Saccharomyces cerevisiae S288C: one gene and its partners. Changing the gene in region 1 together with any one later gene gives a genetic interaction. Each region holds a gene or a part of one and is shown on either strand. Other genes may lie near its edges. The genes, in order: RXT2, IXR1, SSD1 and SET3.

Region 1 (3,389 bases):
ATTCTTCTGTTTTGGAGTTTGACTCCATAGAGGAAATTCCAAATGAGAGAAAGTCCAATATTAAGGAGCAAATCCATAGCATAACGAACGACGTTTTCTTAGCTGCTGTAAATGTAAATAGATTAAACTTCCAACCGTTACCAAACGCATTTGAAACATATGGCGTAGACTTTTTGATTGATTCGAATTACGAAGTTAAATTACTAGAGATCAACGCTTTCCCAGACTTCAAACAAACTGGGAAAGATTTGAAGAACCTCATTGATGAATTATTTGATGACACTGTCAAATACTGTGTTACCCCCATCTTTAACGAGAATAGAAATAAGACAGATGATGAAACAGACCCGAACTTCGTAAAAGTCATTGATTACACTTCAAACGGTTGGTGAAACAAAAAAAAAAAAAGAACCCATCCTAAAATACTGTTATTATTACTAAATAGTGCTAAATAATACATATGCCTTGATTTTATTTCCGAAATTTTTTGTTTTGTCAATTTAGGCTCTATTAGCTTCTTCATCAGGTTCATTATCGTCTACAACACCGTCTTCCATGGTATTTTCAATTTCTTCCTCAAAATTTGTTGTCTTATTTGTTGTAGCACTGATCAGACCTCTCTTCACAACACGTAGAGCCACCGGGATAGTAATATCATCGTCAGATATACCCAAATATTCCCGACTCCAATTTAAAATCCTACCTCTTATTCTATTGGCTTTTATTACAGACTTTCTGATTTTTTGTAAGTTTCTTATGAATTCTTTATTCCTCTGTAGTGCAATCTGCGACAGCTGTCGGGCAGACTCAATTTCCTCATTTAACTGTTGTTGTTCGGCCGCTGTTAATGTTGATATAGAAGCAGAACCGGAAGAAGATGGCAGCAACGATAACAGCGCATTAGATTGTTCCAACCTTGGCAATGCAAAAAAAGGATCTTCCTCTCCAAATTCTTCCATGCCATTATTGATATGACCAGCTTCAGTAGACAAACTATTCGAGTTAACCTCGTTGATATTGTTTTTGTTGTTAATGTCATCCTCGTCGCTTGCCCCTCTATCCTCTGGAAGGGTCAAATTGTGATTATAAGATGGTAGGTTCAAGTTAGATTCATAAATTGGTTCAGGATGATCTCCTAAAAAAACCTCCAAAAACTGGGAATATCTAACAACTGACATCTGTTCTTTTTCAATCATTAGAATTATTTGCAAGGCTAAATTTTTCAAAATTGGGCTTGAAAATGTCCTTGAGATAGTTTTATGATTTATTATATCCCCTAGGGAAAGAATGGGAGTCAAAATCTCCTTTACATTCACTAGTTTTGATAGGTCGTCATCGTCTTCTTCGCCGTAATACTCATCAGTGATATTTTCGTCTTCCTTCTCACTACCATCGATGTCGTTTTCATCACCGACTAAAACAGGCTCGACGTTGATGTCAGGTGTGAATTTTATTCTTTTGCGTCTACTATCAGTGACAATATTTGTTTGCAGAAGGCGATGCTCCGAACCGTTATAGAACACAGTTTGCTCAATCATTGGCTTAGAATTGTTCAAGTCTCTTCTTGTTACTACTTCGCTTCTCTGCAAAAGTTTGTTACCTCTGTTAGAGGATATGCCAGTGGCCTCAGGATAGATTAGTTTTCCATCAAGGGATCTTTTCAGTACCTGATAGTTACCGCTTTTTTCCTTTATTATCCTTCTAGTAAATGTGCTAATTATATTCGATTCATTAGCTAACACACTCTTGCTTTCCAATTCTGCGTTGTTTTTCATACTGCTCCTAATAGTCATCTCGATCAACAAGAAGCAACAGCTGAGATATTTGTTTCTCAACCTCTTTTTTGCAGGAGATGCTGTCATCAAGCAACGTTTCTTCTATTTGAAAGCGATTGTTTTACCAGAACAAAGTTCGCTACCCGGCTTCGGTCCTCTTGGGTATAGGAGACAATAATGATCTTCGAATAACGCCGTTATAAAGTGAACATTATAATTATCCGCTTAAAGGCTTTTTAGTAATTTTGTAAAACAATTGCTTCTAATTTCAAGACTTCCAAAAGGTTTCTCGAGTAACTAGTGCTTTCCAATATCTACAACAAAATAAAATAATAGAATAATGGGTGTTTGCACTATTTTTAGGTGGCTCTTTGCTGCTTACTTGCTCTCTTCATATAAGTCGCTTCCTGGGGCATATTTTGTTAGGTTTTATTATTATGTTATTCAAAACTTGTTCTTGCCTATGTTTACAGGGTTTGAAACCGAGAATATTAAGAAACTTGAGAAAAATGAATATGGCTGTTTCTCGTACACCAGCCTAGATACCTATGCCTCTCCATTCGAATGTGACTTCTACTTTCATAAGAGCAATAGCACCTATTTTGCGGAATTGGACATTTCAAGAGGTAATCTCATGTGCAAGATTTTTCAAAAATTGATGCTGAATTCCAAGCATTATCCATATATTCCAGTTGCGAACGTTTTCACTAATTTCTTGAAGGAAATCAAGCCTTTTCAAAAGTACTCGGTTTCATCAAGGATTATCTGTTGGGATGAGAAATGGATTTACGTCATGAGTAGATTCACAATTAAAAAGGGCACCGTCTTATGCTCATTATCATTGACCAAATACGTCCTTAAGGACGGTAGAAAGACCATCAAACCAAAGGATGCTCTTGAATACTGTGGTTTATATAATGAGAAGGTCGCCAAAATTTCTGAGGACAATCTAAAGCTTTTAACCGAGCGTTGTGGTTTCCACGAGACAGTACCATTGGAAAACTTGAGCCAAGAGTACTGTTCAGAAATCTAACTTCTATACACATATAGCCGGTATTATAAAATATATAAATCTATCTTCTTTCAAAAGTTTCTCTGTGCAGTCTGCGTTATATTTTATCTTCGGTAGAAAACAAGGTAAATTTCCCTTATTTTTCAACATCATAAAAATGAAAAACAGATATATCTTAAGTAAGATACTTAAGCAGACAAGTTGAATTGGAGAAATACAAAAGCTGTAAGGTTATCAAAAAGGAAGGCATACAGTATAATGGGGGCACAATTATCACTAGTGGTCCAAGCATCACCTTCCATAGCCATTTTTTCATATATCGATGTCTTAGAGGAAGTACACTACGTTTCACAGTTAAACTCATCAAGATTCTTAAAAACATGCAAGGCACTGGACCCTAACGGCGAAATTGTTATCAAAGTGTTTATTAAACCAAAAGACCAATATAGCTTACGACCTTTTCTCCAACGTATAAGGGCTCAATCGTTTAAGTTGGGACAACTACCGCACGTTTTAAACTACAGTAAATTGATCGAGACAAATAGAGCCGGCTACATGATACGGCAGCACTTAAAAAATAATTTATATGACAGATTGAGTTT
Region 2 (8,381 bases), on another chromosome or scaffold:
AATTTTTTTGTTTTTTTATCATTTGGACATCCTTTGCCCTTCACCCAGTGTCAATCATTACAACAATTATAGCGATTCATCACAGTGCAAGGATCACTCTTAACGAAGGAAGAAAAGTTAGAAAAATTTCTCATATGTTTCGCGTTTATTTTCGATACCAATTCGTTTCGATGTGTGCAAATTGAATATTGCATCGTGCATTGCAAGGTTTTTCAAATTCTTGCGTCTTGTCAACCGTTCAAGGCGATTGAAAGATATTCACTGCATATCTTCTTATACGAAAAGCATCGAAGAAAAAACACCCATACAACCAAGTATAGACGGAACAATTCGGGTTTTTACTCTTCCCTAGGCGGTTTAAATCGGATATATGAAAAGAAATCAAAAAAAAAAAAAAAAAAAAAAAAGAATTGGCGCATTTGAAGTTTTATTATCGTACGCGTTATTGTTTGCGCTAACATCGCATCGCATCAGCTGACTGAGTGACTGAGTCCCCTTGGCTTCGACTCATCATCGCCTTTCTATGGTGAAAAATTTTCGCAATTTCCTATTACTGTACCGCGTATGCTCCATTTGACTTCCTTTGGTCTACAGCTTTAGCGCTATAGAGTTTCGAAGTCGTACCCGTTACCGGCATGATTGACATATTATATATATATATATATGCGTATCTTTATACTTACTCGTATATTGTGTCCAGCTTCGGATATTTGTGCTTTTGAAACCTACAACTTTTAACGAGTTTAGTGCACATAAATACCAAGACAAAAGGTAGAAATACGGTTATGCTTAGAACCAGACTATCCGTTTCCGTTGCTGCTAGATCGCAACTAACCAGATCCTTGACAGCATCAAGGACAGCACCATTAAGAAGATGGCCTATTCAGCAATCGCGTTTATATTCTTCTAACACTAGATCGCATAAAGCTACCACAACAAGAGAAAATACTTTCCAAAAGCCATACAGCGACGAGGAGGTCACTAAAACACCCGTCGGTTCTCGCGCCAGAAAGATCTTCGAAGCTCCTCACCCACATGCCACTCGTTTGACTGTAGAAGGTGCCATAGAATGTCCCTTGGAGAGCTTTCAACTTTTAAACTCTCCTTTATTTAACAAGGGTTCTGCATTTACACAAGAAGAAAGGGAAGCGTTTAATTTAGAAGCATTGCTACCACCACAAGTGAACACTTTGGACGAACAACTGGAAAGAAGCTACAAGCAGTTATGCTATTTGAAGACGCCCTTGGCCAAAAACGACTTCATGACGTCTTTGAGAGTACAGAACAAAGTCCTATATTTTGCATTAATAAGGAGACATATCAAGGAATTAGTTCCTATCATTTACACCCCAACCGAAGGTGATGCTATTGCTGCCTATTCCCACAGGTTCAGAAAGCCAGAAGGTGTGTTTTTAGACATTACCGAACCTGATTCCATCGAATGTAGATTGGCTACATACGGTGGAGACAAAGATGTAGACTACATCGTTGTGTCGGATTCGGAAGGTATTCTGGGAATTGGTGACCAAGGTATCGGTGGTGTACGTATTGCTATCTCCAAATTGGCATTGATGACGCTGTGCGGTGGTATTCATCCCGGCCGTGTGCTACCTGTGTGTTTGGACGTCGGTACTAACAACAAGAAACTAGCCCGTGACGAATTGTACATGGGTAACAAGTTCTCCAGAATCAGGGGTAAGCAATATGACGACTTCTTGGAAAAATTCATCAAGGCCGTTAAGAAAGTGTATCCAAGCGCCGTTCTGCATTTCGAAGATTTCGGTGTTAAGAACGCTAGAAGATTACTAGAAAAGTACAGGTACGAATTGCCATCATTCAACGATGACATTCAGGGCACCGGTGCCGTCGTGATGGCCTCGTTGATTGCTGCTTTGAAACATACCAACAGAGACTTGAAAGACACCAGAGTGCTTATTTACGGTGCCGGGTCTGCGGGCCTCGGTATCGCAGATCAAATTGTGAATCATATGGTCACGCACGGCGTTGACAAGGAAGAAGCGCGCAAGAAAATCTTCTTGATGGACAGACGTGGGTTAATTCTACAATCTTACGAGGCTAACTCCACTCCCGCCCAACACGTATACGCTAAGAGTGATGCGGAATGGGCTGGTATCAACACCCGCTCTTTACATGATGTGGTGGAGAACGTCAAACCAACGTGTTTGGTTGGCTGCTCCACACAAGCAGGCGCATTCACTCAAGATGTCGTAGAAGAAATGCACAAGCACAATCCTAGACCGATCATTTTCCCATTATCCAACCCTACTAGACTACACGAAGCCGTTCCTGCCGATTTAATGAAGTGGACCAACAACAACGCTCTTGTAGCTACCGGATCTCCTTTCCCACCTGTTGATGGTTACCGTATCTCGGAGAACAACAATTGTTACTCTTTCCCAGGTATCGGTTTAGGTGCCGTACTATCGCGTGCCACCACCATCACAGACAAGATGATCTCCGCTGCAGTGGACCAACTAGCCGAATTGTCGCCACTAAGAGAGGGCGACTCGAGACCTGGGTTGCTACCCGGCCTGGACACCATCACCAACACTTCTGCGCGTCTAGCTACCGCTGTGATCTTGCAAGCACTCGAGGAGGGAACCGCCCGTATCGAGCAAGAACAAGTACCGGGAGGAGCTCCCGGCGAAACTGTCAAGGTTCCTCGTGACTTTGACGAATGTTTACAGTGGGTCAAAGCCCAAATGTGGGAGCCTGTGTACAGACCTATGATCAAGGTCCAACATGACCCATCGGTGCACACCAACCAATTGTAGACGAAGCATAACCAACGCCTGCACTTAAAAAAAAAAAACCATATAGAGTAATATATAAATATATATATTTGTACAATTTTTTTCTTTATTTTTAAAAAAAAAATAATACTTGACATACCGTAATAATAATAATAATAATAATAATAATAATAATATAATAATAATACAATAATACAATAATAAAAACAATAACAACAGCAACAATAGCACAAGAACATTAACCCAAGCAACTAGCAATAACAAGAACGGTAATTATCAAAACAAAATATGATACCAAATGCGGAAAAAATCGGCACATATCCATAAAACATACACATCGTGCTTAGCGATCTACATACCGTGGAGGAATGGGTGGAACGGTTACTGACGACGGCCGCGCGGGGTTTTGTGTTGGGTGTGATGTCCGGATGCAACAGCAGCAAAGGAGAGGCGCAGCGGACCTTCCTTACTTTCTTTTTCTTCTTTTCTTTTCCACCTCCCCTTGGTGAGAGAACGAATGGGAACAAAAAAAAAATGCACACATCAGCTGGTGGAGCCAAGTATAGACACGGCCCGGCGCATTCGTTCTCTCTCTCCTTCTGTCTCTCGTTCTCGCTGTAAATGTGGTTTACTTCGTTATCCTCTGTACCGTAATCGTACTGCATTGTATTCTGTTTCCTCTACTGCTAGGTCACTGCCTAACAGCTACTGCTACCGAGACTGTGACGCTGAAGTTTATTCGCTCTGATATCCCACAAAGAACTCTATTACACACAGACAAGGCAAGGCAACGCAAGTCAAGGCAAGACCACAACTATATCCCCTTCTTCTATCCATTCTGTGATATACGTACGACGCTAACAGTACCCACAACTGCAATGAACACCGGTATCTCGCCCAAACAGGACGACGCCTCTAACTCCAACTTACTCAACATAGGCCAAGACCATTCGCTGCAGTATCAGGGTCTCGAACACAACGACTCCCAGTACAGAGATGCTTCTCACCAGACACCTCACCAATACTTGAACCAGTTTCAAGCCCAGCCTCAACAACAACAACAGCAGCAGCAGCAGCAACAACAGCAACAACAACAAGCGCCTTATCAAGGTCACTTCCAGCAGTCGCCTCAACAACAACAGCAAAATGTTTATTATCCACTACCTCCACAATCTTTGACGCAACCTACTTCGCAGTCGCAACAACAACAACAGCAACAACAACAACAACAGTATGCTAATTCGAACTCAAATTCAAACAACAATGTTAATGTTAACGCGCTACCTCAGGATTTCGGTTACATGCAACAAACCGGATCGGGCCAAAACTATCCGACGATCAATCAACAACAATTTTCCGAGTTTTACAACTCCTTTTTAAGTCATTTAACTCAAAAACAGACAAACCCTTCTGTCACGGGTACAGGCGCGTCTAGTAACAACAACAGTAACAACAACAATGTTAGTAGCGGCAATAACAGCACTAGCAGTAATCCTGCCCAGCTGGCAGCCTCCCAATTAAACCCTGCCACGGCTGCTGCGGCCGCCGCAAACAATGCTGCTGGCCCGGCTTCGTACTTGTCTCAGCTCCCACAGGTGCAGAGATACTACCCGAACAACATGAACGCTCTGTCTAGTCTTTTGGACCCTTCCTCTGCAGGAAATGCTGCAGGAAATGCCAACACCGCTACTCATCCTGGTTTGTTACCACCCAATCTGCAACCTCAATTGACTCACCACCAGCAGCAGATGCAGCAACAGCTGCAATTACAACAACAACAGCAGTTGCAGCAACAGCAGCAGCTACAACAGCAACACCAGTTGCAACAACAACAACAACTTCAACAACAACATCATCATCTACAACAGCAACAGCAGCAACAACAGCATCCAGTGGTGAAGAAATTATCTTCCACTCAAAGCAGAATTGAGAGAAGAAAACAACTGAAAAAGCAAGGCCCAAAGAGACCTTCTTCCGCTTATTTCCTGTTTTCTATGTCCATAAGAAATGAGTTGCTTCAACAATTCCCTGAAGCAAAGGTCCCCGAATTGTCTAAATTGGCTTCTGCAAGGTGGAAAGAGTTAACGGATGATCAAAAAAAACCATTCTACGAAGAATTCAGAACCAACTGGGAGAAGTACAGAGTTGTGAGAGATGCTTACGAAAAGACTTTGCCCCCAAAGAGACCCTCTGGTCCCTTTATTCAGTTCACCCAGGAGATTAGACCTACCGTCGTCAAGGAAAATCCTGATAAAGGTTTAATCGAAATTACCAAGATAATCGGTGAAAGATGGCGCGAGTTAGACCCTGCCAAAAAGGCGGAATACACTGAAACTTACAAGAAAAGATTAAAGGAATGGGAAAGTTGTTATCCCGACGAAAATGATCCAAACGGTAACCCAACCGGTCACTCACATAAGGCCATGAACATGAATTTGAATATGGACACTAAAATCATGGAGAACCAAGACAGTATCGAGCACATAACCGCAAATGCCATCGACTCAGTTACCGGAAGCAACAGTAACAGTACCAACCCAAATACGCCCGTTTCTCCTCCGATTTCATTACAGCAGCAGCCGCTCCAACAACAACAACAACAGCAGCAACAACAACAACACATGTTATTGGCTGACCCCACTACAAATGGTTCGATCATAAAAAATGAATAACAAATAAACAACTTTAGTTTTCCACTGTAACATTATCCCACGCAAACAACGAGAATAAGGAATTCCTTTTTCAACATTTGTTTTATATTGTACTACTCTATTTCCTATTACTACAAATTTTACTTTATTTAATAATAATTTTTCTTTCCCTTTTTCTAACTTCAGTCTATATGTATTTGCCTGTATACATATACGCATGTGTGTAGTCTTCCCTCCTTCTTGTTTTTGTAATATACTTAAGCCAAATTCAAGTTTGCCTCTGATGCTGTGCGAGCTCAACTGACGAGCGTGATGAAGCCAAAAAAATTAATTGATTTCGCCCAGGATCGAACTGGGGACGTTCTGCGTGTTAAGCAGATGCCATAACCGACTAGACCACGAAACCTATTAATCTGTAAAATTGATCATTTTAAAGTGGCATAGTTGTACGATACACAAGGGCGACTTATCAACTTACACATAAAATATGTTTGAAACATGTCAGAAACACTCGTTACAAAGCAGACAAAATTTATTACATCAAACGATACCCTGCCTAGACAAACCAGTTAAACGTGTAAATACCTGGACAACTAGTTTAGTTCCGAGATTCTGCGCTTCCATTGAGTCTTATGACTGTTTCTCAGTTTTCATGTCATCTTTTGACGCCGCATGGGATAATGTGTACTAATAACATAAATACTAGTCAATAGATGATATTACGATTTCACTCCAACAAAGGTGAGTGCTAGTCACCACCCTAAGGATATTAGGATTGTCAAGATGCCCGCTATTACTGGAGCCCTTAGTATAACGGATATTTTCAGGATAGCAGACTTACTTCTCCAAGTGTAAGGGAACTCCGAATCTAAAGTAGCTACTGCTCCTCCATTCCGTGTATATAATCTTGCTTTTTTTTAGGAAAATACTAATACTCGCATATATTGGTTATTATCATTACTTGGACACTGTCTGTTCTATCGCTTCATTTGTAATATGCGTATTGCCCTTCTTATTAATTGCTAATATTTCACCTGCAACATAGTCCCTGTTGATTAACGTGTTTATCCATTTCAATCATGAGAAATGTTTCTTCTGTTTTCCAATGCCTGGCCGAGCTGGTAATATATATATATATATGTACATAATACTTTATTAGAATATATTGTTGATGATTAGTAGACAAGTGGTACTACCAACCGAGAATAAAAGCTGGTCTTCTTAATATAATATGAGATAGGTATAAATAGCAGTCACCGATATCATTGGTTACCCAAAGTGACAATTCATGTCTTTCATAGATATAAATCGTAAGCTAAAATTGAATTAAAAGATCTTTAATTTAGCTGCCCTGCTAATTCTGAAGTCACATATCATTCCTCATTCTGGATCACTCATAACATTTATTGTCTAATTACTTATTGTAATCACTATAGTCACTGGTGTGAACAATGTGAGCAATAATAAACCACTGTATTACCATATACAAATGCATATGTTTAGCCACATAAGTTTAATTTATATTTCTTATTTTCCACACGATATCCCCCACTATCAATGACATAGATGATATTTTCTCCACTGGAACAACCTGAATACAACAATATATTATTTGTTCAAGTACCGCTTCAGAAATTAAATACTCTGTAATTTTGACCCCTTCTAGCACCATATGTACCATCGATACTAGCGCATTTTCAGTTACTGGTGGGAATTTGACATGCTTACTAATCGATTTTTTCTCATGGTTGTGCACCGTTGGATCAATCCTCAGTTCTTTCAATATAAAAGAATCCTGACACAGTTTCTGCCAAAGTTCAATGAATCTCTTGGCGACAAAATCACCAGAATATTTTATCATCTGCTCCACGCATGAACATGCGGGCTGAACGATCGAATAATCAGAGCATAGGACGCACTGTATGATGGAGTCCCATGTACTAGCAACCTCCCTTATCAACAGATTATGCTGTGTTGATAGCAAGGGAAATATAAGCCTCATAACAATAAGAATTTGCACTCTTAATCGTTTTGATGGATGGGTTAATAATCTTTCCCCATAACCCAAAATTTGCAATAGTATTTTGTATGAATCTGATGGTATAGGTGAGGTCCACTGGTCAGTATACTCTTTAGAACTTCCTTCCACCTCTTCTTCTCTTTCTTCTTCATCGTCGTCGCTATCTGGCTCTCTTAATTTGGAGTCGAAATATTCTTGAAAATTACTGGGCTCATTATCATCCTTCAAAAAATCGACGTCGTTCTCGTCTGTTATGTCATCTTTAACCTGTGTCTCTTTATCTAGTATATTGAGTACTTGCTGAAAATCGGTCATACCCCAGGGCGAAAAAGTACTTTGTGAAATGTGTTGATTAGCTATTTTCAAAATCATCTCATCATCATTGATATATTTTTTCTTCATCTCCAAAATGATGATTTTAAATAGTTGGAAAAATTGAAGACAGAGATCACTATATCCATGATAATAATCCAGTAGTTTAAATATCGTTTCAATAACATCTTTAAAATTTTCAATGGTTTCATAGCCAGCCAATTGGCAAATCACCATTAATATTTGGCTCACTCGTTCAGTCATCCCAGAATTCAATCTTGAGGAAATAGATTCTACAAGATAATCTACGTTGCTTAAGATCATGTTTGGGATAGACCCATGATATAGGGTATCTGCTATCCTCAATGCACAGGATTGGCTCACATACCTAATGGCTTCGGACGGTGATGCCAAGGCGTCAACTACTGTGTATATATAGTCAATCAATTCTGGTTGAAATTCTTCTCTCATTACCGCACAAATCGTTTCAATAGAGAATAAAACTGTACATACGGCAAACTCATCACTTTTTTTTATGCCTTTACCTTCAATCTCCATGCTAATGTCTTGAGAAAGTTCATTGCAAAATTCCAATACAATCAAACACACTTCTTCAACCATGGA
Region 3 (10,233 bases), on another chromosome or scaffold:
GATGCACAGAAAAAAAGACACTTTATTATTGTTGAATAACATTGTCTGTGGTATATATATATATACTATGATATTACAGTTTTTAAGACATTAATGTATTAACAGCCCATTTTACGCTTAATGTCCTCAAATCGGTATAGGTTTGTCCCACGCCAACGAATAAGATAGGAATCCCCGTAGCATAAACCATATTTACCATAGTACCCAGCATTTCACCAACTGTGTCACACTTGGAGATAATAAAGAAGTCAAGATTTCTTCCCTTTCCGAAGGCATCATTAAAATTTTTGGCTTGCTGGACAGAATCAGTACCTACTAAAGCCTCTCCAACCATAATGATTTTATCTGGCTTGGCTTGGTCAGCGAAAGACTTCAATGGCGACATTAAAGTAGGATCATTATGCCTTCTCCCGGCAGTATCCATTAACACTATATCGAAGTTTTGATCACGAGAATATTTGATGGCTTGCTTTGCAATTTTGGTTACCAAGTCAGATCCACCATAACCAGCTTCAAATAGTTCAACGTAGTCATTACCAGTTTTACCCCTTTTGTTCTTGGAGCCACGAACGTGTGAATCATCCATTAGCTGTGCCAAATTTTCAACATGGACCCTTAGTTGCTCAACTGCACCAGACCTAAACGTATCACAAGCAACAATTAAGACCTTGAAATTATTTTGCAGTAACCAAAACGCTAGCTTTGAAAGATTTGTTGACTTACCAACACCATTAACACCAACTATAGAGAACACATAGGGATCACATTTACCTTCTTCATCCTTTTTGCTTCTTTTGCTCTGAATTTCACGGAGGAGATCAACGGATACACCAGGCGTTAATATTTGAGTTAATGCTTTTGTTAAAGATTCACGAGCAGTATTCTCAACACTGGTCCAATTTGCAGTTTTTGAGCCTACAAGATCATGTGAGACTTGCTGTGTTAAATAGTCTGCTGCCTCTGGTGCTACATTTTTGGTTATCAATTGTTGTGTTAACTTCTCTAATACAGATTTCAAATCACTTTCATTGATCGTTTTGTTACCTAGAACGTGTTTTTGAAGGAATCCAAAAGCTGTACTGACGTATCCAGAATTTTTAGCTTCGTTCCCACTAGTTATCTCGTCTTTATGAGAAGACAAAAGATCATCAATTTCTTTGATTAAGAAATCGCCTCCTTCTGTTCTATCCCCAAAAGAATCTTTATTAATAGTGGAGTCTAGAGCTACTTGGCTACTATTGTGGCTGTTGGATGATGAGAAATCTAATTTGGCTGCATCTTCATGATTCATTTCATCAAGCATGCCACCATCACGGCCCCACTTTCTCCCACTACCAACATTTCCTGTAGATTGCTTCTTACCTTTTGTATCCCTCAATTTTTTCTTGGTATTTTTATTATGCGATTGGGGTACTGATCCATTTTTGGTAAAATTATCTGGATTGATATGGTCTTGTTTTATTGACTCTTCATATTTTATCCTAAAATATTGCTCAAATTTCTTCAGGTCGTCTTCAATTCCCTGAAGAATATCGACGTAGTTATGCTTGTTCTTTTCGTTTTGGCCCTGACGATTTTTTAGAATGGATTCACTTAAATGCAATGAGTTCCAGAGTTTTAACACCAGTGCAAGTGTTTGTTGAGTTTCTTGATTAAGCTCTAAAGTCTGCTCGGCAAAAGTCACTACGAAATACAATTCTGGTTGCTTATTCAAATAAAATAGTGCATTAAATGAAGGAGAATTTTTGTGTTCGCTGTTGATTGTTAAAAGATTGAAATCAAATCCGTCTGTATTTGCGTTTGCAACACTTTCTTTTCTAGTTACTGGGGAAGTAATCAGCTGGGATATAAAGCTGTTAATTTGTATTTCAGAAAACTTTTTTCCTAAACAGTTATATTGGTAAAGTACTTGACCTTGAGGGGTAAAGACTGCTAATTGGTCGAACATAATCAATGCACTTATTGAACCGTGAATCTCCTATTGAAAAAAACTACTTGATGAAGTAGCTGAATATTATTCAAACTGTGAGAATACCACAAATCTTTGGCTACAGATTAAACGCTGACGAAAAATTGGTTTATTTATTTCTATCTACTTATTGTACGACCTCAAATGTTTACGCAGTAGTTTCTGAAGTACGAGCAAAATTGCTCGACGATGATTTCGTTATTGTTTCCGGAAAAATTACCCAGCGCATAAAAAGTAAGCTTTCAGTACTTCTCTTTGATGATATTTGTACAGCAAAAGGGTATTTAGTAACGGAATAAATTTAATATATAAGAGTATAAATAACAAAAGACAATATAAATTGAAAAGTTGTAAATATTGAAAAGAAGGCTGCATTATTGTTTTATGTATTTTTGGGAAAAAATATATGACTTAACGAGGTCGAATAAAAAAATTTGGATGATGCCTTACCGGAACGTGGATTAAAAGGAGAAGTACAAAATTCATGCAGTTGTTAATGTTCGCAGGAAATAAAAACAAAGGGAAGGGATACTGAGGGGTGAAGCACAATCCAAAGAACGAAAGTGAAAAACAAGAAAAACAGCAATGACGATATTGGTAGAAGAGATTATACCCTCTTCATGAATGGATTTAATGCACGGACGGTTAAACATGGCAAAGCCATCCCCACCTCAGCTCTCAATAGAATAGGAATCTTTTGCAATTCATGTATTTCTTGTATATAGTTATCATTTTCAATTCTGGTTTCAGTAGTAGAAATGAATTTTTCTAAAGCATTTTGCTTGTTGTCGCTTGCAGATGGTAGCCTTAAATTTGGTACTGTTAGATGCAAATCGCTGAGTTCCTTACTCAATGGATCGCTGATCAATGGTTCAGATTCCGCTTCTTTATCTAGTTCAATATTCGCAATCTCAGCGGCTGTGGATCTGAATTTGTTCTTAATGGAATTTCTATAGGATTTTGGATTTTTTTCATCTGCTGGTATAAAAGTTGCACTATCTACGCCGGGCTGCCAATGCAATTCCAAGACACGATTGGTACCATCAAACTCAGCTTTGATCAAAGGTAGTTGATCTCCATGAACTCTCTTTTCAATACCAAATTCTGGAATAAATACATCAAAGGAGGACTCGTAAACTTGTAAGACAGTAGCCATTGTTAATAATTGTCCTGTAGTATTTCCCATGTCGTTGATTGTTTTACACAACAATAGATGAATTGCTTGTTCCTGTGCTTGATAAGCACAGTCCTTTTTAAAATTACAATATTCGGAGGTAATCTTCAAAGCTTCCATATCTTCGGTGTATGGAGTATCGTGGATAACGGCCTTTAATTGCCTATGAACGACATGATCAGCGTATCTTCTCATTGGCGCTGTGAAATGTGTGTAGATAGGTAGGTTCAAGGCATAATGCCCATATTGGTCCGGGTCTACTTTGCCAGCAATAAAGTATCTAGCTCTTGGCATGGTTTTAAACAGTAAAATTTCAATTCCGACTCTAACATCGTCATCTTTAATTTTTAGCACCCCTTTGATTAATTCATCCGCCGTATTGGTATCAAAATTGTAACCAAAATTTTGAATTTTCTTTCTAAATGACGCCATCTTGGTTGCAATGGGTTGCATCTGCCTTCTCAAAAGAGCTAGATCACCAAGTTTGGTGTAAATTTTCTCTGCAACAGTGGAGTTGACCTTTCTTTTAATCTCATTAATTACAACAAAGCCTAAAGTTCTATCCAGGATGTTCAAGTCAACCTTAACTTTTTCGTCATCCAAGCTTTCCAATAAGGACAGGGTGGGAAGTAATGTAGCTTCTGGATCATTTATTCTTCTAGCATAAAATGATCTAGCAATTTCCTGTACAGTAGAGAGGTAGCTAGTGGGACTTCCAGTAGATAATTTTTCGTCTAATTGTTCTAAAGACAAGATGTTTGAGGGGGAAATTGTAGATTCGCCTACCCAAGTAGATTTAATCCTTAAAGTAGATGAGTCTAGAGTGTAAACAACCGACAGCGTGGCTGATTCCTTGCCAGGGGCCAACGACAGTTCGTCGTTGAACGATTGTGGTAATAAATTGACAAGTTTTTGTGGCATGAACACCGCAGAGGACCTCTTTCTCGCACGCCTATCAACAGAGGAGCCTTCTTCAATATGGCTGGTCACATCAACAACATGACAACCCAGCTCTAGGGTACCATTTCCGTTATTCCTGACATGTAAGGCAAATTCAGACACCCATCCAAGCTCGGAAATTGCAAAGATATTGTACTCATTAGTGTCCGTAAAATTCCTCCTATATTCTAGACTTTCAGCCGTTAATGGTAGCGGCTGAAAACTTGGTTTTTCTTTTTGCGGATTTTTTTGATCCAAATATTCATTCGAAAGAAAATTGTTATCCCTTAAAATGGAATCAATTTCAGTATCAGGATCGTGAATATCTCCAAGTTCGGAAACTAAAATACCAAATGGATGCAAAGATGTGATTGGCCAACGTTTAATAGAGGCAACGAATAACTTTTCGGAGTATTTATCAGCGTTTTCAACAAAGTCCTTTGGAGCTAATTCTGTAGGAATTGCAATTAATGGCACCTTCTTATCAGTAGGCTTGAACCAAGCAATTTTTGGGCTTTGTGGTGGTTTGTTATTGTCGCTATTAGCTTGTTGGGATGGTCTCAACAAACCTAATGTACCGCTAAATAACTGACCAGGGATACGGTCCAAAACAGCAACGACATGGCCTGCGTAAAGTGGCTTATATTTATCGTTGATTTCTTCTTCTTCAACTAATAACAATGACTGACCTTCAACTTCAACATCGTCATTTTTCTTTTGAGTTGGACGTTGTTTCAATGAACTTCTTCTCCTTACTCCTGATTTGGTAGGAGATGATAAGGAATCACTATCATTATTGATAGTAGATGACCTCTTTCTTCTGACGGATAAATCATCCTTGCTTAGCGAATCAGACGAGGAGGGAGAAGATAGAAAATTGTTGCTTGTTGCAGCAGTAACAGATGCATCGTTGTGGTAATCGTCACTACTGTTCAAAGGAATTAGATCGTGTTGCATAGAGGCATCCTTTCTCCTCTTCTTTTCTTCCTTTTCTTTCTTGGACTCCCAAACATCGTCCACAACTAATAGTTCTACCGCGACTAAATCACCTTCAAGTGCTCTATTACGATCTTTGGAGCCGCAAATGTAAATATCCGCATCAAGAGCGCCATCTGTAGAGACCCAGGCATCCGATCTATTCTTTTTATTAACTCTTAATATACCAGCTACTAGTCTCCCTTCTTGGATTAGCTCTGGAATGTTGGCTTGGGGAAGGTAGGGTGCAAATAGGGACTTACGTCCACCTCCGTTATTATTACCTTGTGAACTGAAACTATGAACTGATGAATTAGAGGCACGATGTTTGTGTCCCTGCTGAAATATCGCAGGAGGTTCTAAGGTATTGAAGGAATTGTAATCCCTTGAATTAGATCCTCTGTGGCGGAATGGAGAAAGCTGCTGTTGAGGTTGCTGTGATTGGTTTCTCCAGTTGGAATTAATGCCTGGAGAATATTCATTGTTTCTTGTCTTTGAACGGCGGTGCGTTGAAGAGGTTGCTATGAATTCATCGTCATTATCCCCGTGAGAGTTTGGAGGAAATTTGAAAGAGGGAGGTGATAGGTTTGAAGTTGCGCGACGATGGCCCTGATGAGCATTTGGTGGTGGTGGAAATTTAAAATCAGATTGTTCTGTAGTAGAATTTGAGCCACTATCAGCTTGAACAGAATCTATCTTCACAGTTACGCCTGCTTCACCCCCAGATATTCTTTTAGCTTGTTCTTCCGCAGCAGCCTTTTTCGCTTCATTTAGACCTAAAGAATGTCTTCTGGAATGGCCATATATGCTGGATTGTGAACTCGTCTTTCTGTGTGAGTTAGACCCAGGATTATTGCTATTGTTATTGTTATCATATGAATTATGATAATATCCGGAGTTGTTCCTGGAGTGAGTTCTACTTCTGCTGCCACCTGCACTCATACCAGGTGAATTACCGTTTGAGTTGTAATGAGGGTGAGGCGGTTGAGGCGTGAAATGATTGTTAGAGCCAGAATTTCCTGACAGGTATTGTCCTGTCTGTTGTGCCAATTGCTGTTGCTGAGCCATCAACTGTTGCTGCTGTGCTTGAACTTGCTCCAACTGCTTCTGCAAAGTGAATTGTTCAATCATCAAATTTGTCAACTCACTTTGGGAACGTCTGTGTGCAACATGAATCTGCTTTGGGGCGTTTTTACCACCTCCTGTGGTTTGCACAAACATGTTATTTGGCTCTTGGGATCTATTGTTGTTAACGTTGCTATTTTTAGACATAGTGTATAAAGATGGAATAATTGGGCCAAATCTTTGCGCTGAAAGGTTTTTGGTGTTCTGTTTTGCGATATTAAAGTGACAAAGAAAAAGATGGAACTTGGCAAATACTATACGTTTATGAACCCTTGTCTTATTCTTCGTGCAGGCAACTTAGATTTCCCTTTGAAAAAAAGTTGTTTCTTTTAGAATAGTGGCTATGAAAAAAGTGCGCCTAATGCGGAAAAACGAGGCACCAGCTGTTCTAAAATAAGACCAAAATGTTTAGGGTACCAGAAAAATGGTATGGCGAAAATAAGCCTGGCAAGAAGACTATGCAGATAACTTTGACTATTCCGGTTTTTAGGTTACCAAAGACAGAAGAAAGGATCGGTCCCAAAAAAAGGAAATAGCTTATAAGGGAAGTTGCAGAAAATGCGCTTGAGTAACAAAAAATGTTAGAACGTAGCAAATATTCTAAAAGGAATGACAGAAAAACTTCTTACCTTTCTAAAATATAATCTCTCCTATTTCTCAGCTAGGCTCAAAATTATAATTTAGAAATTATTGTTTGCACGGCAAAACTTCGTTCCTTTGCTGTTAGAAAATCAGTCGGTGTTGGACTCTTCGTCTTTTAAATTCTTGACAAGAGAAGAGTTTTTAAATGAAAAGAACTAACGAGAAAAAACCAGGGGAAGGAGGGAAAGAGCGAAAATACTCGTGATCTAAACTCTTTTAGGTTAGTTTTCGTTGGAGGCAGTGGTCTTAAGACGATGGTGAAAGAAAGGACTTATTTGTAGAAGGATTGTTTATTTAATCCTTGAACTAAACAAATGACAAACTCAGGTCTCTAGCGTTCCTGTTCGTGGCCTTTAATAACTTGATGGCAATGGTAGAAAGACACACCTGCGTTATATAAGTTTAGTTTTCCCTTCTTTTCCTTTCTCATCCCCTCGTGAAGCGACTCGGCCCCTTTGGTCAGAAAATTCAAGGTGATACAAGTCGTCGTCCGTGACATAGGATCAGGAATCACAATCATCACATTGCACTCTCGTTCTTTAAATTATGTATGAGATTTGATTCTATATAGCTACTTGGTGGCGGTATCCTCTCCTGGACCCAACTTGTATAATGCGTCTAGGAATCCCACAATCAATTTGTCTGCAACGCCAGCAGTTTTAACGCTCCCGGCGACACCATATAGAGCGCTAGTTCCGTCTGGGGATGGTTTAGAATTTGATTCGCTCTTCAACTCTTGCACGGTAGTACGTAAAATGTCGCAGATCTCATCCACAACATGAGCGCTCAATCTCGTGAAGGCCATGTGTAGTGCAACCGGCTTTTGTAGGGCATTGAAATGCCAGCCTTTCTTGGACAACCTGTCAGATAGTTCGTGTATGTTCAAGGTCTTTGAAGAAAATGAAATGACTGAATATCTAGGGTTGCCCATTATATTCAGGTCTGGAATGTTTTCCTGGATGTATTTTTTAAACTTCATTGCTGCACCGACTATTTCTTGGCACGACTCAATGTACCCATTTTCACCCATGTTGACCATAGTGGCCCAACAACCTACGACAATAGCACCAGGCCTGGACCCTGCTAATGTAGGAGAGCCATATAACCCGCCAGTCCAAGCAGGATTTACGTAATACTGATGCATTCGTAAGTCGCTGTTTCTATACATTATAACTGACGAGCCTTTTGGTGCAAATCCATATTTATGAGTGTCACATGATATTGAGGTGACTCCCGGGACTCTAAAGTCAAGTAATGGCAGATTTTTGTAACCAGCCTTTTCCATAAATGAAACAATAAAGGAACCTAGACAACTGTCGACGTGTAAAGGAAGTTTATATTTTTGTGCTATTTTACCCAATCCTTCAATATCATCGGCAATACCATGAGGAAAGTTTGGAGCGGAACCGACCAGTAAAATTGTGTTCTTATTGATGAATTTTTTCACTTTTCCCAGGTCCACTTGATATGTCGTTGGATCTAGCTCCACGTGGCGTAGCTTCATGCCAAAGTAATAAGCAGCTTTGTCAAACCCAGCATGTGCAGTTACGGGAGCAATTATTTCTGGTTCGGTGATTCCACGATGATGAAGGGCATACATTTTAGCGCTCAGACATGCTAAAAGCAAGGATTCTGTACCACCTGAAGTTGTGGTACCACAACCTGTATCAGAAGGGGCATTAAACATTCTTAAAACCATAGAAACCACTTCGGATTCCATTTTACGTACGGCAGGAAAGACATCGGGATGTAATTGATTGGCAACGCAATATTTTTCGTATGCGATTGTTTGTAAGTGGATCAAATCATCACCACCGTGGTAAACGGCACCAGAGACCTTTCCTTCCTTCCATTGGGTATGTGGTATCAAGTCGTTCAATTTATTTAGCTCTTCAATAACATCATCCTGAGGTATCCCATTGGATGGCAACTGTGGGAAATTCATTAACTGAGAGTCCGATCTAATTAGTTCGTCTTCGATCGATTGTTTGACCTTTGTGACTTCCTTTTCTACGGTACCCCTCAAAAATGGTGAGTCCAATAACCAACGAAACAATCTTCTGGAACTATGCTCGTATGTTCTCACTGCTAACCTCACCGGCCCATAAACTTTCAACAGATAAAAAAAATTACTTATTAGCTTGTAACAAAAGATCACAAACAAATAATCCTTCAACATGTTGTACCATGGGGTATTTCTGAGGTAACCATGTATGGCTATTTTTAATTCGTTGATGGTTAGAATCATAAACTGGGCAAAGTCGCCTTCTTCCCTTAGTAAATGAATTGGCATGCCATACCAACCATTAATTGATACTGTTTTATTTGATACTCCACTCATTGTATTAGATGGAAAAATCCCTTTACAGAAGCTAGCCTACTTGCTCGGTAAAGAGGATCTGGAATAGTTATAACGGTTGGAGAGGCAAATTGAGGGTTTTATTTATATGTGTACTGAAAATATACCAATTTTTTCAATCAAAAAACCCCGATGCGGCCGGCCGGTATATATGGTAACTAACATGAAATAATGCACCAGAGTAGTTGATGAAATGTTTCTGAAGAATAAGGCGATAAACGATAGGCAACTGTGTAGATTTAAATATTTGGCCAATCTCTATGTACTTTCTCTTTTTTTCCAGTGTCAAATACTTGTAGAAACAGTCTAATTCATTAAGAAAGTATATAAAATCTCTCTATATTATACAGGCTACTTCTTTTAGGAAACGTCACATTCATGTGTAATTAGGGGTATTGGATCTTGTTGATCTAAACCGTGTACCATTTGCGGCAGCTTTTTCCACCTGGACGTTGTTTTTGTTTTTTAAGTCGTACTGTCGGTTCATTAAGGTTATGTAATTCTTTAAGAATTTGTTTCTTGCTTTAAGCGACTGAAAATCATTCTGTAAACGTTCCAGCTCCTTCTTCAAGCTTTCTGTGGAAAATTTAGTCAGTGGACCATTAACTTCGTTTTCTAAAGACTTCATTGATTCTTGCAAAATTTTCAATGTTTGCGCGGACTCTGCGGCTTTTGAAGATTCTATTTGATATTTGGAACGTAGTTCATCATTGAGCTTTGATTTTTCCGCATTTGCTTGTTGGAGTTCCTTTAACTTATTAAAAAGAGTCGCATTTTTGTCTATGTATTCCTTCAACTTGTCTGCTAAGGCAGATCCCTCTTCCAGATGATTTTCTGATGAAATAGTATTCGAGGGCAATTTGTTGAAATTCTCTAGTTCCTGCCTATTTTTCAGTAAGTGATTTATTTTATTTTGTAGCTTGGTAGATTCTGTCATCGCATGCTTCAACCTTTTTTCAGAGTCATTAATGGATTTTTCCACTTCTTGTTTTTTCTTGAATGTAAGACCAACAGAATTCTTTATTTCGTCCAACTGGTTCTGCCGTTGAG
Region 4 (8,979 bases), on another chromosome or scaffold:
GGGAATAGGTCCTAATGAATTGACAAGGCAATTAGTATCAGAAGAAATGATAGAAAAGTTGATTAAGATAATGCTAAAGGGCGGTACATCCTTAAGTAATGGTGTTGGAATTATCATAGAGTTGATCAGGAAGAATAACTCAGATTATGATTTCATCCAACTAGTCTACACTACCCTAGAAAGTCACCCTCCCACTGATCGAGATCCAATTCACTTGATACATTTAGTCAAACTTTTTGCTAAGCATATGCCTGATTTTGCTGATATGCTGGATAAAACCAAGTTGCCACTAATGGAAATGCCATTCGGTAATATTGAACCTCTGGGATTTGAGAGGTTTAAAATCTGTGAACTTATTGCAGAACTATTGCACTGTTCTAATATGACGCTGCTAAATGAGCCCAATGGTGAGATGATTGCCCAAGAACGTGATATAGAAAGGGCCAAAGAATTAGAAACTTCAACCGAAAAGGAAAATATAACAGCTATTGTGGACAATAAATCATCATATTATGATAAGGATTGCGTAGAGAAGGATATCACAGAAAATTTAGGCGCTCTTCAAATAAATAATCAAGGAAGTGAAGAAGATGAATTAAATGATACTGGGGTATCAAGTGTAAAACTAGATGTGAAATCAGACGCAAAGGTAGTTGAGGGGCTAGAAAATGATGCTTCTGGAGTAGAGTTGTATGATGAAACCTTGTCTGACACAGAATCCGTGAGAGAATGCCTAAGGGAAAAACCGCTAGTTGGAGACAGGCTGAAGATTGCTCTAGAAGACACTAAGATACTGATTAGTATCCTTGATATGTTCACTGAGTTCCCTTGGAATAATTTTTTGCATAATGTAATTTTTGATATTGCCCAGCAAATATTCAATGGTCCCCTCAAAACTGGTTATAATAGGTTCCTCTTGAAAGATTATTTGGTTGATGCATACCTAACTAAAAAGATAGTAGATGCGGATAAGGCATGTCAAGACTATGAAAAAAAGACCGGTTTACGTTATGGTTATATGGGTCATTTGACATTAGTTGCCGAAGAAATATCGAAGTTCAAAGAGTATATTGATGAAATGAAGCTAACTTTTTGCAATACCGCTGTTTCAGATCGACTTGAGGAACCATTTTGGAAAGAATATAGTGAAACGATCTTGGCTGATACAAGAGAGAAGTATAACACCGTTTTGGGAGATTTTGGCAATGACCAAGAAAGCGATGACGATGTTATTAGGAATTCTGATTCTGAGGATATAATTGGTGATACAGAGGGCAACGAAAACTACGGAAATGGAGAAAACGATGAACTTCTTAGTAACGGGCATGATTCTGGGAACATGGATTTATATTATAACTTCAATAATAACGAGAATGAAGAAAATGAAGAAGATTACGCAGAGTATAGTGATGTGGATAATAAAAATTACTATAATAACGTCGAGACTAACGACGATGATTATGATAGTGATGATGGTAAATCCAAAAGTGCCGAATCAGAGTTTACCGATAAAATATCTGAACATAGGGATGGCAATAGTCTCTATAATGAGGACAATGATGAAAACGGGAGTGACAAATGGACATCGGGTACTTCATTGTTCCCTCCAGACCATTTTCCTAGTAGGTCACAACCTTCAGATCCTAAACTGCAAGACCAGAATATTTTTCACCATCAGTTTGACTTTGAAGGTGTTGGCGATGACGATGACTATATGGATCCTAATGATGATGGCCAGTCATATGCCAGACCTGGTAATCCATTGTATACTACCCCGAAAACACCACCAAGACCGAAGACTATTCTTTTCAATTCTTTATCCGCATTGGATAATAATGGCGAAGACGAAGAAGTGGCACTAGGCACCAGTGTTGATGATCGAATGGATAACGAGATATCAAGCGATGAAGAAGACTCCGAAGATGAAGATGAAGAGAATGATATGGGCAATGAGGAGGGCTACTCATTATATAGGTCAAGAAGTAAAGAAGCTTTCTGAACTAAAACATTCACATTGTCACATTTTCACCCTTTATTCATCAATTTTTTATTGCTCCACTTTTTTCGCATATAGGTCATTTATAATTCATCAAATATATACTTTTTTAATTGAGGCTTGTAATTTAATATTAACCGAATATAATCTTATAAAGAATAATGAATATTCACTTTTGAATATACTTAAGTTTATATAGGTGTAAGAAGGAAATGTCCATGTTTATTTCAGTAGTTTTTTTCTGTAATCCGCAAAGCTTAATTTCTTTTTCGAATGCAGTTGTGAGGACGAAAAATCTGATAAGTGCATTATACTTTCTGGAGTGGATTCTCGCCTTGAATTAACCGAAGCTTCTGTCATGATTTCTTTTGTTTTTGCTTGACTGTGTTGTGCTTCCTTTGACAGTTCTTTATTGAAATTTGAAAGAGAAGGGGTTCTACTTAATTTATGTTCATTCTTTGATTGACTCTCTTCGACATCGTTTGCAGTTTGCCTTGACGTCTTGTTTATTGGTAAAAGAACTGGAATTGGTAATTCTTCAATATTGGTAATGTGTGATTCGTCATAATCTGTGCTCTTCGTAATTATTAAAGGTTTTTCTGAAGTTTCATTTTTTTTGGGAACAGAAATATTAGAAGAATGTTGTGCAAATAAGGCGAATTTGAAGGGTTTTGCAATATCATCAGGATTATTTGTACTATCAATAGTATTCTTTTGAGGAATTTTTGGACCATTATTTCGATTAAGGAATTTTTGTCGATAAAAATTATTCAAAAGTATTGGAGCTCTTTCTATAGTATTTTGAGCCTTTTCTTCTAGCCTATGCAAAATTGGTGGCTCACGTCTCTTTTTGCAATTATATTGGTTGAGAATTTCATTTAATTTATATCTGTTGTTCATTTTTCCTCTGGATTTCACAGATTTATAAAGACTTTGCGCGTATCTCTTCACTTTCAATAAATAACAATCTTTAGAATTATTTCCACAGCCGCATTCGCCGTTACTCAAAATTGTTTCTACCGAATTTATCAGCCCATACCTTTCAAGGTCATCTAAAGAGTCTATTGTCATGCCCTTTATTAATTTTAATATAGGATGTTTTGAATCCCACTGCCATTTGATGTATAACTCCTCATCCTCTGAAATATCTCTCAAAGCTCTTAAAACAAATTTTATTCTACTTGATTTTCTTCCACTGCTTTTGTCATTCCTATTGTCTGTATCTTGCAGTTTTATAGTTACTAATTCAACATTCGGCTGGCAACTTCTTCTCAAATACCTAGTTGAATTGCCTGATAAGCGTGCATCTATATATATCGGCCAATGGGAATGGAAAATGACCCTTCTTTTAGCTGTACCCCATATCCTGTAATGGTTTCGTGGGTCAGTGAGATAATTTTTATAGAAGTCCAATTCGCCTAAAATTTCTTGAATGAAATCACCTTTTATGCAGTCCTTTTTGAGATAAACTCCTAATTTCGTGAAGCCTGGGTAAGTCCTGGAATATGCAATGTCAGCATACGGTTTGACTTCAATTGACACAGATTTAAAGGTCTTATGAGGATATTGTATGACCCAATTATCATCCATATGTTTATTTAAGAACGGTTCGATCAGATCACTTTTAAACACATTGTCTTTCAAGGGCAAGTATATTGCACCATATGCGTCTTTTGCACTCAGGAAATGCTCTTTTTTCTTGGGCATAGAAGTCAATCCATCGGAAGAATTGACAGAAGCGCTTTCGTTTTTGGAGTCTATACTATTATTTGATGGGTTTCTTTTCCTTCTTTTGTCCCTGTGGTTAGTATTGTCCTGATCCGTTGAAAAGCTATCGCCAACGTCACTAATAGTTGTACTCGATGCTCTGTCCCGACCGTTATTCTTATTACTAGCACTATTGTTTGATGAAGAAGGTTCTACTGTTTTTACGTTTATGCGTTCCTGCTGTATTTTCCTAGCCAAGTTAATGTCTACCTCTCTTGGATCACATGAGTTGCAAAGGTAATCATCAGGTGCCATCCCAATATCTTTGATGCCATAGCAAATAGCATGCTGCCATCTGTTGCAGTGGTCACATTGGATAGTGAATCCATCATCATCATTTAAATCACATATACATGTAATTATACCCGCGTCAGGATCGACTATATACGAATCAGGTACCGGCCATTGAGGTTGCTTTTGAGGTTGATTTTCGGTCTCTTCTTTTGCTGCCGTGGATGTTGCTGCTTCTGCCGCCGATTGCTCAGTAGCTTTCTTTAAAGGTAAAGAAACTGTGGATGCTGTAGCCAGTGCTGCTGCTGCCATTTCTATTGCTCCTTTTTTTTCTCTCTCATGAGACTCATCATGCTCAATAGTATCTGTTTTAGAGCCTATTTTTGAAGCTTCTTCAGCTCTTTTTTTCCCTTTTGAAAACAATAACAATGTGGATGCATCATCTAGGAGCGACTGCTCTTTGGAATTAGGTACTGACATGATTCAGTTCTCGTATTTTGTGAAGTACGATCTAAAACTGTTGTATATACGCTTTAAATCATGTTTACTAGAAAGGTCCTTTATTACTACTTTCTGTATATAGCATGTCGTTGATAATGATATGCATCTATCATGACATAGTAAGATGAATGAGTTGGTTGAACAATTTCCAGGGAAACAAAGGACTAGTTTCATGTCTTTAATGTTTTTTTACGAATAATATACCATGCTATAAAAGTATTATAATAAAAGGTATCGACTACCTGTAATCTAGAATGATAATTTCATACAACGATCACTTCCAACGGTTAAATAATTACCAATAGACCTTACTAGAATATTAAACTTAACAGGTTTAAATTTTGTTGAAATAACTGCAAAAAGCCAGAAAGAAACAGATTTGCACTATAATTTTTCGATTGCCACTACTTAGTCAACGGATTTATCAATGTCATATTTGCCGACTTATTCCAACGACTTGCCAGCAGGCCCGCAAGGCCAGAGGAGGCGTAATAATGGTAATGAAAACGATGCAAGACAAGGCTACGGTCAGCAATCTGTGCCGATGGTAATCAGGAGGCTTTTCAAAACGCCAAAGAATTTAGATCTCGAGACAGCCAGCTGGGAAATGTTCCATTTGATTTTCCATCCAAGAAAAGCTTATAGATCAATATATTATCAGCGACAGACGAAAAATCAGTGGGCGAGAGATGATCCTTCCTTTTTCATCTTCCAAATAGCCTTAATTTCACTCAGTTCTATTATTTGGTCGATTTATAATTCAGGTTTCAACAACGACAGTGATATGGGGGCCTTGAGCATTATAGGTCATTTTTTCAAAAGTTTGGTAATGATGGTGATTTTAGATTTTTTCATATTTGGATTTATTATGGCAACTATTTTTTACCTTTTGTTGAATAGGTCACATTTTAAATTCAAATCGAGCCAAAATAGTGTGGTAGAGTGGGCTTATTGTTTCGACGTTCATTGTAATTCATTTTTAATCATCCTACTGTGCCTATACTTCATTCAGTTTTTACTACTGCCCATAATTAATTTACAAAACTGGATTTCCTTACTCATTGGTAATTCGTTATATTGTTTTGCTATTGGCCATTACTTTATTTTAACCTTTTATGGATACAACCAGTTGCCATTCTTGAAAAATTTGAACTTTATACTTTTACCAACATTAGGATTATCGATAATCTATTTAATCAGTTTATTTGGCATCGACTTATCCAAGAAATTAAGCTTTTACAATTATTAAGCAATTGAACACGGAAATAGAAAAAATTTGGTTCTTTAAGATAAAGCACATAAATTACATAATGATATTATTATTATATATATTTGAAGTATAAAAATGCAATGAGTAATAAGAGCAATAATGACACTATGGACCAAAAGAATGCATAATGAAAACTGTTTATGTATCAGCGTCGAATGCTTATAACAGATAAAAGGAAAATACAGGTAATGGTGTGTTCCTGGTCGTTTTTATATTCCCTTAATTGTAGATTTCCATTGGAGAAAGTCTATCCGAGTTAAAAATCCAATTTCTACTCTCAACTTCTTTAGCTAACCATTCGGTTGGGAAAATGACCAAATGACCGTGGATCCTTTCCAAGATTCTCTGCGCCGTATGTTTGTCAAAAACCTTTTGATTGAATCCATAAAGCAAACTACCGGATAACTTCATTCTCAATTCAGCGGCTTTTCTCATTTTTTCCTTTTCCCTATCCTTATCTACAACATTTGTAGTAGTAGAATTAATATTTTCAGCCTCTAAGTCAATCAACTTTTCCTGGTTTATTTGAAATTCTTGTTCTAATTCAGTAAATTCTCCATATTCTTTCCAATTTTGTACAGCATTATCGGGTTGACAATGAAACACTAATTTATAGAGTAATGTATTTCTCAAGGCTATAGTGAACCATAGCCCTTCAGAAAACGAAGAAATAAGAGGATCCTCGAAGGAATACGGGTCAATGAAGTTGAGTTTCAATAACTCTTCTTTTTTTGCGTCATCAATTTCACCACTGTTAAAGTTAGTGATCTTAGGAATTATCTGAGAAAGTAGATCGTCCAGTGAACCATCATCTAGTTCTTGATTTTTCAAAATATCTTCGTGCAATCTATGATATTCATCGCCTTCGATATCTTGGTCGACATTAGTGCTTTCTCCTTCATTGCTCTTTTCGTTTAATGGCAGACTATTAGACCCATTTCTGGTACTTTCTGTGCTTGAACTTAAATGTCTTCTCATATCTTTGATTTTCTTCAATCTCTGTGTTTTTCTTTCGTCGAGTTTATGAGATAAATATTGCAAGTAGCATATCCTTTTGAGCATACTCCATTTGTTTCTATTGGTAACAGTTTTATCCGTGAGATACATTTCTAGATCTTTCTCATTGGGCAAATAATTTGAAAATCCTTCTGGAATTTCTGATTTTATCATTTCTTTATCGTCAAGAACTTTCGAGGCCAATGAGTTCAATGCCCACTCCTTTAGCTGTTCAGTTGCATCGGCCTTGAATTTTTTGTTGGATTCCTTTTTCCAACAATCGGGACCGTAGCCATCAACCTCTTTTTTATGTTCATCATTCTTTCTTAATCTTGGATCAGTACTTAAGACTTTGTGGTCTCGTATACCGACATTTTCAATTCCTGCCCTGTGGTTGAATGTTAGCCCTAAAGATGCAAAATTATGTTTGGGCAGAGGCGTTCTCTTACGTGATGATTTACCGTAGTCCACAGAATTGAAGAATTTTTCATAAACGTTTTCATCTTCTCTTCCCACTTCTTTTTCATTTATGCCACACTGAGTGCTTCCATCATCAACACTGTTTCCATGACCACTCTTCCATTGAGGGCTAAATTTACAACCAAATATTTCACGATAACCTAGCTCAATCATAGCGGAATCGATCATTTCTCGATCGCTCCAATTGTTACCACTATCTCCCTCCTTACTTAGGGTATGAAGTTTTTCATAATTCTTTGCAGCAAACTTTTCAAACCTTTCAAATTTCTTTTCAACAAACTCAACAAGATCTACATCACAACCTAAATGTTCCCTCATTAATCGCTGCCTTAATTCCCAAGGAAATTTTCCCGCGTAGTAATCGTCACCATTCATTTTGGTCTTTATCAAGTCGGTGTCTCTAATAAGAATTGCCACCTCACTATCTCTATTACCCAGTTGTGATCTTTCGTTAATATTAGCAGACCCTATAATACATCTTCTGTCATCAGCAATCAGAATTTTAGCATGAACGTAGAGCTGCTCGGTGATTAATCTTTCATTAGGCGCAAAAGTCGACCATTTTCTTAGTGAAAAGAACTGAATATATTGAGCTGGGTCAATATTTAGTTTCTTCAGTTTACTAAATGTAGAATGTTCACCTCTTGAAATTGATTGATATTGGAATTGCATAATTAAACGAAGACTTGAGGCTTCTGCAGTATCTACTGGAGAATCGAATCCTGGCATTAGTGGGATAAGAATAAAGGCTTTCCAAGGTTTTTTCTCCTGATTAGCTTTGACTATCCTATCAACGAGAGCATCACCAATTTTATTCAAAACGCAAGTCCCGTTCCAGACAGTTGATGTAATGAAGAATTGATTCTCAATATAAATAAAGTGTTCACTTTGTTCAATTAACTTCAGGTAAGCATTTTGAATTGAGCATTCCGTTTCCTTTAGCCCAAGAGACCAGTTCCCAGCACTTCTAAGTATTTGAGTTTCACAAGTCGATTTTTCGCGTAGAATTTCGAACATCGGCAAACTCTTCAATTCTTCAGCAGTTAAATCTGAAGGCGGGGTTAGTAATGGAGTTAACCTACTAGGTCTCTTAGCTCTCAATAAGTAATTCCATCTTTGAACAAAATGTCGGGCTAAGTCTCTTGCTGGCTCACCCAAAGTCATCATTTGCACATCATGCCATGGCATCCTCGGAATGACTTTTCTATCATACATTGATTCGAATGGTTTATCTAAATCATGAAAATCAGCAATTCTGGCATTTGAATAATCCTTACCAGGAAAATTTTGATCTAATAAAGATTCTGCATCATCTCGTAGAACGTGTTCAAAAGTATCATATCTACCATAACATAAATCTGTACCACCAATAAATGCAAATGTTTCATCAATAACGACAAACTTCTCGTGGTGTGCCCAAAAATATGTATTTTGTAGCCATTGATTGGGAGACCTTATGATATGTATATTTGGATGTAAATTTAGCATAGAATGCTTGGTCCAAAGACTATCTGTCCCAACAATATTCCCCACATTCCTATAAATCACAATAAAAATTTTGATACCTTTTTCTGCACAACTTTTCAGCATACGATCAATTCTAAATCCCTGGTTGCCTTTCACCGGACGTCGCAAGTATAATTCAGGGGATAGCCACCAATCATGGATATATATGACATCCTTTGCCATTAAGAGGGCCTCGCTTAACGACCAAAAATAATCACGCCCATCTACCAAA

What was found.
Region 2: mutations in RXT2 (region 1) and IXR1 together harm fitness more than expected from each alone (negative genetic interaction), as found in Saccharomyces cerevisiae (4 studies listed by BioGRID, with this or other methods).
Region 3: mutations in RXT2 (region 1) and SSD1 together harm fitness more than expected from each alone (negative genetic interaction), as found in Saccharomyces cerevisiae (5 studies listed by BioGRID).
Region 4: mutations in RXT2 (region 1) and SET3 together harm fitness more than expected from each alone (negative genetic interaction), as found in Saccharomyces cerevisiae (6 studies listed by BioGRID, with this or other methods).

The regions. Positions count from the first base shown.
Region 1 is NC_001134.8:433,906-437,294, forward strand, and holds RXT2 (Rxt2p), read right to left. Parts: upstream 1,794-3,389; coding exon 501-1,793; downstream 1-500. Other genes in the region: PBY1 (putative tubulin tyrosine ligase), read left to right, coding at 1-392; YBR096W (uncharacterized protein), read left to right, coding at 2,116-2,808; ubiquitin-binding serine/threonine protein kinase VPS15, read left to right, coding at 3,046-3,389. UniProt on the Saccharomyces cerevisiae protein: Component of the RPD3C(L) histone deacetylase complex (HDAC) responsible for the deacetylation of lysine residues on the N-terminal part of the core histones (H2A, H2B, H3 and H4).
Region 2 is NC_001143.9:377,130-385,510, reverse strand, and holds IXR1 (DNA-binding transcription repressor IXR1), read left to right. Parts: upstream 1-3,652; coding exon 3,653-5,446; downstream 5,447-8,381. Other genes in the region: MAE1 (malate dehydrogenase (oxaloacetate-decarboxylating)), read left to right, coding at 786-2,795; TTI1 (Tti1p), read right to left, coding at 6,939-8,381. UniProt on the Saccharomyces cerevisiae protein: Binds to platinated DNA and confers sensitivity to the anticancer drug cisplatin. Activate the expression of the COX5B gene.
Region 3 is NC_001136.10:1,043,064-1,053,296, forward strand, and holds SSD1 (mRNA-binding translational repressor SSD1), read right to left. Parts: upstream 6,330-10,233; coding exon 2,577-6,329; downstream 1-2,576. Other genes in the region: SRP101 (signal recognition particle receptor subunit alpha), read right to left, coding at 83-1,948; sphinganine-1-phosphate aldolase DPL1, read right to left, coding at 7,396-9,165; HDA2 (Hda2p), read right to left, coding at 9,560-10,233. UniProt on the Saccharomyces cerevisiae protein: Can suppress the lethality due to deletion of SIT4, and partially the defects due to BCY1 disruption. Is implicated in the control of the cell cycle G1 phase.
Region 4 is NC_001143.9:495,360-504,338, forward strand, and holds SET3 (histone-binding protein SET3), read right to left. Parts: upstream 4,475-8,979; coding exon 2,219-4,474; downstream 1-2,218. Other genes in the region: SAP190 (Sap190p), read left to right, coding at 1-1,999; GMH1 (Gmh1p), read left to right, coding at 4,923-5,744; SPO14 (phospholipase D), read right to left, coding at 5,985-8,979.